Linked DNA regions of Drosophila melanogaster. The protein of the gene in region 2 interacts with the protein of the main gene of each other region in a pairwise test. Each region holds a gene or a part of one and is shown on either strand. Other genes may lie near its edges. The genes, in order: Deaf1 and Clamp.

The links.
Region 1: the proteins of Clamp (region 2) and Deaf1 interact in a two-hybrid assay, tested with the Drosophila melanogaster proteins (2 studies listed by BioGRID).

Annotation. Positions count from the first base shown.
Region 1 is NT_037436.4:19,816,243-19,821,217, reverse strand, and holds the start of Deaf1 (deformed epidermal autoregulatory factor-1), read right to left. Parts: upstream 3,045-4,975; 5' UTR 2,684-3,044; coding exon 2,552-2,683; intron 2,117-2,551; exon of another isoform or gene 2,028-2,116; coding exon of another isoform or gene 2,007-2,027; coding exon 1,208-2,006; intron 1-1,207. Other genes in the region: fibp, read left to right, coding at 3,466-3,468, 3,523-3,601, 3,669-3,987, 4,051-4,158, 4,215-4,347, 4,398-4,498, 4,557-4,625, 4,687-4,872 and 1 more. UniProt on the Drosophila melanogaster protein: Transcription factor that binds the homeotic Deformed (Dfd) response element. High affinity binding sites contain at least 1 TTCG motif surrounded by additional TCG sequences.
Region 2 is NT_033779.5:22,164,919-22,171,043, forward strand, and holds Clamp (Chromatin-linked adaptor for MSL proteins), read right to left. Parts: upstream 4,226-6,125; 5' UTR 3,970-4,225; intron 3,726-3,969; 5' UTR 3,618-3,725; coding exon 3,462-3,617; intron 3,403-3,461; coding exon 3,202-3,402; intron 3,149-3,201; coding exon 2,719-3,148; intron 2,659-2,718; coding exon 2,385-2,658; intron 2,336-2,384; coding exon 2,132-2,335; intron 2,070-2,131; coding exon 1,634-2,069; 3' UTR 802-1,633; downstream 1-801. UniProt on the Drosophila melanogaster protein: Transcription factor involved in X-chromosome dosage compensation in males, the process by which transcription of the single X chromosome in the male is elevated. Binds to the DNA sequence (GA)n.

The DNA.
Region 1 (4,975 bases), on a different chromosome or scaffold from region 2:
TTAAAAATAAAAGACATAGAATTAGAAGTAGGAGATAAAGTTTTACTAAGAAATGAGGTAGGTCATAAATTAGACTTTAAATATACGGGGCCCTATAAGATAGAAAGCATAGGAGATAATAACAATATTACGCTACTTACTAATAAAAACAAAAAACAAATAGTTCATAAAGATAGATTAAAGAAATTTCATTCATGATTGAATTTAAACTTATATTTTCCTTAATCATTTATACAAATTTTCCATACACTACGTATATTTTTATCTTTGCATTATAAAATCAACTATTGTTGTTCAAACAAAAACACAAACAAAATAAAAATAAAAATAAAATAATTTGCATTTAATAATCAAAATAACTTCACTAGGTTACGTTATTTTTCAAAAGGAGGGAGATGTAGTATGTGCCTATGCAATATTAAGAACAATTAAATAAAATAGCATATTAACTTATGGCAGCACTTTGTTGCTATGTTTATGTTTATGTTTATGCACGCAGTTAGGCCAGGGCGGATGTAACATGATCACCCACTCGAAGGCAAAAAGTATAAGTGCATGGTCAGCATTCACACGCCGACCAAATACATATTACATACGTACATACATATCTCGCTCTCCCGATAAGCCTAGATATATAAGATATACATAAGAACGCCGCTCCGCTGCTGGCGTACCCGGCAGCGCAGCTACGCGGATTAGCCTAAGTCCAAATATATAAAAAACTGTAAAATCGGAGAGACTCTGTAGACGTTGAGCTGACAGAACCATTTCTGCCTACTCTAAAATCAAAAGAAGAAATTGAATAAATATATGTCAGCCCGACGGCTGCCTTCAACTTAAAACGGACTTGTGTTCTTAATTGGAGTTCATCATTACATCTCATTCCTTAATGAGATGTTCTATAGGGTTACAATATGACATACACACTTGAGAATAAGAAAGTTTTAATATTATTTCTTGCAACATTTTTGCCCAAGAAGCCCTTGCTGAGTAAAATTTCCAATTACTTGGAATTGTTTAAACCCTATAGTTTGCAAACAAAAAATTGTTGATAAACAGAAGTCAGGTGGGTTTTTAAAGCTGTGGTGTTATGAATTCGGTTTGTGCGCGAGTCCTGCACCTGGGACACCATGACGGACCGATGACCAGGTCAACTCGGTGCGCCATGCAGAAGGGGGGAGTGTGTAGTAATTGTTGTTCGTCTCACCTGACTCACCTGCTTCGTCGTCGCAGCAGACGGTGCAGCTGCAGTTGGTCGCGTGCGGCGTGAGCGTACCCTCATCGATGAGGGACTGCAGCGATTTGCCGCCGTACTTGATCGAACGCTTCCAATCCTTGCTGGAGCCCCGGCCACACACATGCTCAAACTCACTGGGCGTATGCCACTTGTCCTTGTACTTCACACAGCGTCCACGGCCGCCGGAGCCCAGCTTGCTGCGGTATAACTCGGCGCAGGTGGTTTTGCAGCGGATCTGGAAGACCTCATTGTGCTGGGTTGACGGGTTCTCCGACCATCCCGAGGAGCCACCACCCGTTCCGCCGCCGCCACCGCCGACGCCACTCGCTCCGCCCGCGGCGTGCTCCAAGGTGGCCAGGCTGTCGTGGCTATTGTTGCTCCCGGAGCCATCGTGATTCAGTCCAATCGTATTTGTGGCGGTCGTATTGGTGCCCGCATTATTGGCGCCGCCACCGCCGCCGCCTGGTTGCGTCTGCTGTTGCTGGATGACGATCGTCTTGAGGTCGTTGCCCATGCTGACCGTGCTGCCGGACAGGTAGCCATTGTTGTCGACGCACAGCATCGGCTTGAAGTGAGGGGGCAGCTGGTCGGGCGTGATCACATTGAAGGTAGTGCCGGTTATCATCGAACCGATGGGCAGGGATACGGGCACCGAAACCACACCGCCACCGCCGTTTCCTCCGCCCGCTCCGCTTGTACCGCCACTGGCGCCGCCGCTACCACTGTTGTCGTTGGAGGAGGATGTGACCATGCGAACCTTGGTGTCCAACTGCATTACCATAGCGCACATATTCCCACGTTCGTCACATGTATGTGGGTGAGTGTCCAGCGGCCAATTGATGGCGTTTGCGATTTAATTCAATGCGATTTGCACAGGAATCGGGAATGAAAATTCGAATGTAAGTAAACAACACAGCATGGGAAAAATGAAAATCGGTATACACAACATTTGTGCGCCACAAATGCGGTGGGTGGAGGGGGAAAACGAGGAGGAGGAGGCAAATTGGGAGTGGATGGAGGCGAGAAGGCGAGCGGGGAATGCCTGTGGCCCAGTGGGTCGCACGGAGCGTTCCGTAGGGCGCAAGTTGCGCCACCCCCAGGCCACCTAGCCCAACCACCCACCACCCACTTTCCACAACTGCGCAGAGCGAAGCGGAGCGGTTTTCGAGCCAGATTCGGTTTCGGATTCAATAGATAGAACCTGAACCAAACACACAGTCCGGAACCAAAACCACCCCGCCAAAGGAGAAGCGAATGGAAAATCCAAAACCAAATGGGCTCCTTACGCAGCCGTTTGTTGCTCCTTTTTCTTACCTGGTGGTGATGATGATGATGGTGATGGCTGGAGCTTTCTAATATCACCTCTTCTTTCACAACATCCTCGGCCAGCGCGGCCAGATCTTTCCTATTCAGGTGCAGCTCGGTGGAGGAGTCAACCTGTTCCATAGTATTGTTATGCCAGTTCACTTTCACTTATTCTGCGGTCCAACGATAGTAATGCACTTGAATTGTTCATCGGATTACCACTTGCAATTGGATTATTGCGATATATGTATATTATTCGACGTCTACCGAGACGACGGACGGTCTGTTGTTGTTGTTGTTGTTGCTGCCGCCGCGATCCGCGTTTTTTTCAGCGCTCACCACGACTTACATGCGAATTGCGCGCAGGTCGCGTTCAAGTTGCATTGCCCTATTTACAGCTGGTGGTTCATTGCAATTTACATTTTTTAAGCTTAAACTTTACTAATTTACTAAAAAAGTTGATATCCTCCTCTTCTTCCTCATGATAACTAGAGTTGTCATGCGCGTTGCAGCTATCGCCCGCTATCGGCACTATCGATAGTCGTGATTCGTGCTCGCTATCTGTGCCCCATCTCTGGTTTTTAAATATCGGAAAGTTTACAGCTATATATCTTGCATATTAAATTAAGATTTCTGAGAATTACAATTTTAAAGATTTCCTTATGACTTGATCTTAAAACTCAAAATCACACCGAATTTGGTTTTACCATTATTACTCTAAACATTTTCGCTTGTTTATTAATAGGATATATTGATGTTATGAAAACAAGAACGATTTATTACTTTCAAGGAAAAGTTTTAAATTCATGAGAAGAATAAACTATGCTGCTTGTGTTGGAACTACACAGTGTTTCATCTCTAACATACATTTCGATATATCCAATTGGACAGCTAGTTCAGAAAACGGTCACTCTAGCAATATAATGGTAACTATCTGATGATCCAAAATAATAATAAATAGTAAAACTGAATGCTTACAGGCCGATGTGGATGTGTTTATAAGTAATTATACAATCATCGATCCAGAAATTTACCAGCTATGGATCGAAGGCTTCTCCTGTAAGTTTTCTTCTCCCAATTGCAATCTTGTTTCATGTCAAACGGCTCCATCGATTTACAATTATAGCCAGCGAGGCGGTGTCCTATCTGAAACAGAAGGGTTTTGGTCACTCCATGGGCGCTCCCAGCGACCTGATTGCATCGGATGTACTGGATCATTACCGCACCTATTCCCTGATTGAACTATACCTAAACGCACCCACCAAACTGATGGAGCAATCCTGCTTCCAGCTGGAGCCACAAATGCGTGACCTTATCACCGAGAAGTACTATTCCATCGATGATGTGGTGGCTCGCGAAATTCTTGGCAAGAAGCTGTCGTCCCGCTACCGCAAGGACCTCGACGAGGTGGCCGAGAAGACGTGCGTCAAGCTAAAATCAGTTCGGTGGGTAAATTTGGCCGCTACTTAGGCAGAGTAGAGTCTAATATATTTCAACTTCTTCTTCAGCCGACAATTTGACAACGTAAAACGCATTTTTAAGGCAGTCGAGGAAATGCCGGGCACGTTAACCAACAACATCAAGCAACACTTCATCATATCCACCGATCTAGCCAAGTATGAATATAATCAATGTATTGAACTTCAAAAAGCTAAACCTTTCACTCTTACAGAAAGTACGCCTGCATTGTTTTCCTGGCCTGCCTGCGTTTCGAAACCACCAAAAAAAAGTTGCAATACCTGAGCTTCAGTGATTTGTTGACCTGCTCCCATGCCATCATGATCTACTGGACGTATACTTACCAGGTATGACTTAGCTCTGCTAATTCCTTACGAAACTAATTTACTAAATGCAGCACACTGGACCGGAGTACTATGATACCGAAATGGACAAAGAGTTTCTCTTGGACCTGCGGGAGTTGCGCTGTCTACTCGACAAGGAAAAGGAGATTAAGCAGTGAGATTTATTTTTCTACCGCACACGAGCTATTATATAGTTTAGTCCTTGCATTTAGCCTCGTCTGCATGCGCCTCAAACCCGTTCTTCTCGAGCGCGCCTTTCACGAACTGGATGGCAACTTTCGGTAAGGACTTATTTCTCGACATTATCACCTTTTCTTACTATTGATCTGTTTTGATTTGCAGTTCTTACTGGCGCGCCCTGATCACCATCGCCTGCAATTTGCATCGCAATCGGGAGCTGCGCGATCTTTTCGTCGATCTCTGTGAGAAGCTTATTGATCCTTGGCGTCAGAATGGCTGGAACCGTGAGCAAGTGAATAAATTTTTGGCTTCCATAACGCAAAGCGTTTTGGATCTGGAAATATCAAGGTGGGTACTTTTGTCTAGATTAATCAAGTAACTTTTTTGATAATCAACTCTAAATGTTTTGCAGGGACCAAGAAACCAGATGTCTTTGGGATCGCTATATGCA
Region 2 (6,125 bases):
GCTTAAAAATGAGTTTGAAATGCTTTGTTATATTTTGAACATATATATAACATCTATTTTAGATGTTGCTTATATTGTTTATCCACAGCTTTAAAATAATTTGATATCAAATTGGAAAAATAATTGGCACGAATAAAAGGACTCTACCAAGCGGCAAAGACCATGGTCAAATTTAATTGGCCGGATAAATATGGATTGTGGTACGCATCCTTTCCGTAACTTTGTAACGATTTAGTTTTTAAGCTGTAGCAGAAATATTAAATAAAAAGTGGACCAACCACAGACACAGATCTTCCTATATAATCATGATTGCATAGTGCATGCAAACCAGTTGACATTAAAAGAAACAAAACTACAATCCCGTGTAACTAAAATGTATTCATTCTTGAATAATCCTATATACATATGAATATAAGTTTGTAATGACCGCAAATTCAAAAATGGACCCTAAGCAAAGTCCATGTTCGCAAATGTATACGTATACGTATTTATCTTGATTTAACTGATGGCGAATTCTAGTAATTTAAAGCTTTATTATACAAGCCATGAATCCTAATTCTTAAACACTTGGTTTTGATTATTGTAAAAAATTCGTTGCCACTTCACAACTTTACTTTAAATATGTAAAAATATTTTATTTTTAACAGATAATACGCAAAAATATAAATATAAGAAGTTTAAAAGAGTGCGTCCATTTTACAAATCAACAGCTCTAATTTTTTTGAAAAGACAGCAGTAATTCACATCATCTAATTTTCGATAAATTTTAACTTTATTTTACTCTTTTACGTCTATGAATATTTAAAGTTTTGTGTATTTATTAATTATATTATTGCCAACATTAAAATTTACTGACCTTATAGCTTCACGTAAGAATAAGATGAACGTGGCAAAACACTAAAAAAATTATATTTAAAGTGAAATGGTGCTTACATTAATAAAAAAAAAACGCATAAGACGTCGAAAACGGTGGAAAATGTGCCTATTTCTGGGATCCCTCTATTCTTCGTTAAGGCACTTGCAAATGGAGTAGGTTAGTAAAAAATTGTATTTTATTCAAATATTTATTTGATTTTATGCATTATTTAATACATACTTATATTAGATAGATTTAATTAAAATATATTTAAGCTTACAACTTTCAACTTATATGTGTGTGTTTATTACCTGTGCATATTCATACGTATCGGATTTGCTCGTATCGTCACCTAATAAATCCATATTTTACACCTACAATTTGTATAAGAGAATAGCCTATAACACTTATAAATACGATGCCTATACATATATGCGTTTAATGTTTAAAGATGTTTAAGTATATTATACAAGCTATCAAATAAATTAGGTTCATTTGTATGCTTATCGTAAAAAGCGTTTTTGGGTTTCGCCCATTTTTGAAGATCCCACATGAAAGTGGAGAAAGGACATATGCAGCTGAAGTGTTAACGATGGAACATCGTTTTCTATTCTTTAATATCATTGTGGTGATATATGCGCCCTTAGAGATGGTTCTGGGGCTAGCATAGGTGGAGGCAGATGATCATAGTAACGCTCGATAAACTGAAGCTAAGCAGGGTGGACTCCAGTGTCTGTGACTTCATTAAGCTGCCTGTCACCTCTGCATTTAAACTATCTATAACCCACCGATAATCACTTCCTGTTGGGCCTCATCCTCCATGTCAGGAATCTCCTGCTTATGCACTATCATCCCATCGCTGCTGGTCTGGCGAGGAGCAGTTTGGCCGTACTTTTGGTGTATGCCGCGGTGACGCTTGAGTGCAAAACGATCAGCGAATGCTGCAGAGCAAATCTCGCACTTGTAGGGTTTTTCTCCGGAGTGCACCTTTGCGTGGTTCTTAAGGTGCGCCGCCTGAGAAAAGGCCGATCCACAAATTTCACACTTGTATGGCTTTTCGCCCGTGTGAATGCGCCTATGATTCCAAAGAGTAGCGTGGCGCGCAAATCCTTTGTCGCAAACACCGCACACATAGGGCCGCTCGCCACTGTGCGTGCGTTCATGGTTCTTGAGGTGTGGTGACTGTGAAAACTGCATGCCGCAGGTTTGGCATCTATGTAAAGATAACGGTAATTAGTATAAAGAGTATAATTTCAAGTAGAAGATTGGTATTACTTATAGGGTTTCTCGCCTGTATGAATGCGCGCGTGGTTTTTCAAATATACGGCTTTAGCAAAGGCCAATCCACAGATGCTGCACTTGTAGTTTTTTTCACCGCTGTGCAGCTTTTTATGGGACCACAGACTTGAGTAACGTGAAAACAGACCACCACATATATTACAACTGAAGGGTTTGGACGGATTTCTGCAGGACAAACACCTTGGTTTTGTTAGCGTAGGATAAGGTTGCAATTTCATGTTATACTCACTCAGTTTTAACAGTAACTGATTGCTTTACCGATCCGCCCACCCCGCTGTGTGAAGCATGGGAGTGCTGCCCCACTAGCACCACGCCGGAGCCATTGCATTTCTGGCATTTGGTCATCTGCTGGGAATTTCGTTTTTTCACAGGATGATGGCCAGACCCACTGCTCGCCTCTCGCTTTGGCGTTGTACCGCCAGTCTGTGCAGCCACAATTTGCTGAAGTTGTGCTTGGGCCTGAGGAGTCGTTGATATGATTTGCACGGGATGCGCCATTTGACCTGCAAAAGATGCGATGAAGTTAGTTATGGTCCATTTAGAATGTAATCTTTCACAACTACCGTCTTGGGCGACGAAGAGCTGCTGTTGTTGTTGCGCTGTTTGTTCAGCCTGCATGCAGGACTCGCAGCGCACCTGCTTTGGACCTTTGCGTTTGGACTGCTGCAGCATAGAGCTTCCACAATTTATGCACTTGCTTGCCTTTGACTCATGTTGCTGCTGCTGCATTACAGATTGCTGAACCGGCTCCAGCGTGTCAGAAGACACAATCTGTATCTGGCCCATCTGACCATTTCCAATAATGTTCTGTGCCTGCACAAGCCCCTGCGCGCTGACCACGGCAATAGAATCGCCGCCCGCTTGGGCGTTATGTTGCTGTTGTTGCTGCTGTTCCCCGTCTGTATGCATCCGCTTATGAGCATTAAGAAGTGCCAAATGAGGGAACATATCTGAACATACGTCACACTTAAAGCTTATGTTGGATATGGTGTTCTGCAAAGAAGAAAATCTTTAGGCTTTGCTTAACGAGTCTTCCTTTTACATACAGCTGCAATTGGCTTATTTTGATTGACAATCTGGATGCGGCCTTGTGCGTCTACCGTGGCGATGCCAAGAGCTGCACCCTGATTGAGAGGCATTCCGTTGACCAGGGCGTAATTGTATCCGCCCACGGGCTGGGCTATATAACACGTCTTATTGTCGTCTGTGGTGGCCAGCTGTGCGAGATTGACGGTACCGCCATTGCCCTATGTGAAGACAATATGAAAAGTCAGCACCAATAACATATAGTAAGTAAACTACTTACATTTGTCGTGTAATAGAAGGTAGGCTGCTGCTCCGTTTTTTGGCCCTCTATTTTGGGCTGTTTAAGAATGGTGCCATCCGCCGTCTGGTATTGAATTGTGGCCGGTTGCCCATTAATGGCATTTGTGAAGATAATGTTTTTGGTAAGGTCTTCCATGGTCCCCAAAATTCGAGTATGCTCAAAAATTAACTTTTATCATACGTTGGCCTTTTATTTACTGCAGCTCTGTCGCGCTTTTCAACACTGCATCACGCGACGCTAATTCTATAAAAGAGAAAAAGAGATGAATATAGTGCCATAGGAACCCAGCGAAAACGACTGATTAAAAATGGCGACGGTGAGACAAAAAATATGTACATACGCGACACAAAACATACACAGACGAACGTTTAATGCAGCAGCTCTTTACATTAACAGACTCTAGTATCTAAACTGGAGTCTAGCACATTTGTTTTTTTATCATACAATATTACACTACATGTGTTATTTTTTTCATTATTAAAATTACCTTTTACGCAACCGGACCACACCATAAATTGCGCACTGCCTGCTCCACAATAAAATTGTTAAGATTTGAGTGGTGTAAAATTGTATTCGTGAATTGATAACGTATTTTAACGATATATTGTTTGGAATAATACAAGATATATATTTAAATAGTGTTATCTTTTTCTAACAAATTCCAGCACTTTAACTTTCAGTCCATCATTTTTTACGATTGCTAAAGAGAGATGGAGACAGAACAACGCTCAGAGATAGAGCAGACGAGCAGCAGTTTTACTTTTTAAAAGTGTGACCGTTTCACGACTCATGAAAATAATCATTTCCCTCGAAAATATACCAAAATTCACAAAGAACTGGTAGGATTTCTTAGAGCCCTTTTACACTAATTCGATAACTCAGAAAACATAAATATTTTTATATACGTTTTGTACTTCGTAATTTGGATTACATCACATGTTGTCTTACATGTTGTCTCTTACTCAAAAGGCAAACGCTACGATCAGTAGAATCTGGCTGTTACTAGCTTTCGAAAAGAAATATCTTGTGCTGAGCTGCGTTAAAAACACGTTTTAAATTTATTGAGACTTAACTTTTAATATTCTACAAGCTAAGGTAACACTGTAAGAGCAAAGACACTAGAATATTCTAGTGTCTTTGGTAAGATCATGGGCCATGGTTGATAACAAATTCCATAAGATAACGAAATTTTACAGGCACTCGACTTTTAACTAATTCTTAAAGATTCCATATAAAACGTACTTATTTTTGTATACTTAAATCTTTTAGGAATTCCTATTTATCTTTATCACTCGATGTAGGGGAGTGAGTTAAGGGACAACAGATTTTTTATGCCCCACGTAGTGACGCAAGTTATCCAACCCATAAATATAGCACTCTACCAAAAGCTAAACAAATTTCTAACTCCAATCTCAGCAGCGTTGCCTTTGCCCTTGTTTTTGACGCCAACACTTAGCCACCCGATATATAACCAAACTTAAAGTAAACACAACTTCCACTTGGAGACCAAGCCATGGTCAACTTATTGCGCTTCAGTCAAACTGCGTCAGTCAGCAAATTTGAATTTCACAATGCTGGGAAATAATTTCAGTGTAAAGCTTTTATCCTAAACATATTAAAAAGCTTAAGAGAATCCTAAAGAAAAGCTTCTGGCCGAGGTTGAGTGGATTAGGATTAAGATTTAGAAGATCAGTCTGAGTCGGGACGAGATCGTGAACAGCTTCAAATCAAAGATAAGCTAGTAATAAAGTGTCTTGTAATAGTATAAGTGAGGAAGTCTGTCGCCGAATAAATATTAATTAATAAAAAATAAAAACTATTCTTTTAAATAATTAAATAGCAGCAATTTTAATTCGCATACGTTTTGGTTTTGAGCTTAAGATCCTGGATGAACAAAGTTCTGCGAGTCCTGTTTGGTGTTGGAAAATTTCAGCTTCCAAAAGATTTAAATACTCTCGGCGCCCAAATTCAAAAATTTATTAGTGTTGGCAAGGCAACCAACGTGGTCAAATGTTTTTTATGACAACAGCATTTAAGGGAATGTCTTGAGATAGTAAGCTTATTTATTAGCTATTTTTGAGGAATGAAAAGACAAGTTTTATGGTAGTGATTTCGAACGATTATGTGTATGGTTTTGGAAAAAATTATGTCAGAAGGAACGGAAGGAAGCGTTTCGGGCATTATAACGTGCTTATATTCTTGTCTTCGGCTACCAATCCTTCTGTTCGTATACTTTTGAAAAGTTCTTTATCTTAAAAAATTAAGTTGTTTTTCTTGATAATTTGTATTGATATGCTTGAACTATTTCGCCACGACCAATTCAACACCCAAAACTTTTTGTTTTCATTGTTTATATTTTGCATTCCTTCTGGCTGTGTAAACGGTATCTCAATGTCCAACAAATTTGCTTAAGCGTTCTCTCTTATTTAAAAATAATTTGGTGGTAATAGAACTTAAATGAAATATATGTATATCTGTTTAGCTGCTTGTGATGTAAAAGAAATTAGAAATTAATTATGTGTTTACATTAAGATATATATCTTTCCCGCTTTTATTCTGTGTTCAAACCGCATGTGTTTTATATCGGCTTAATATACATATGTATGTCGGAGATTGAGTAGATCTAACGCAGTATTTGAATGT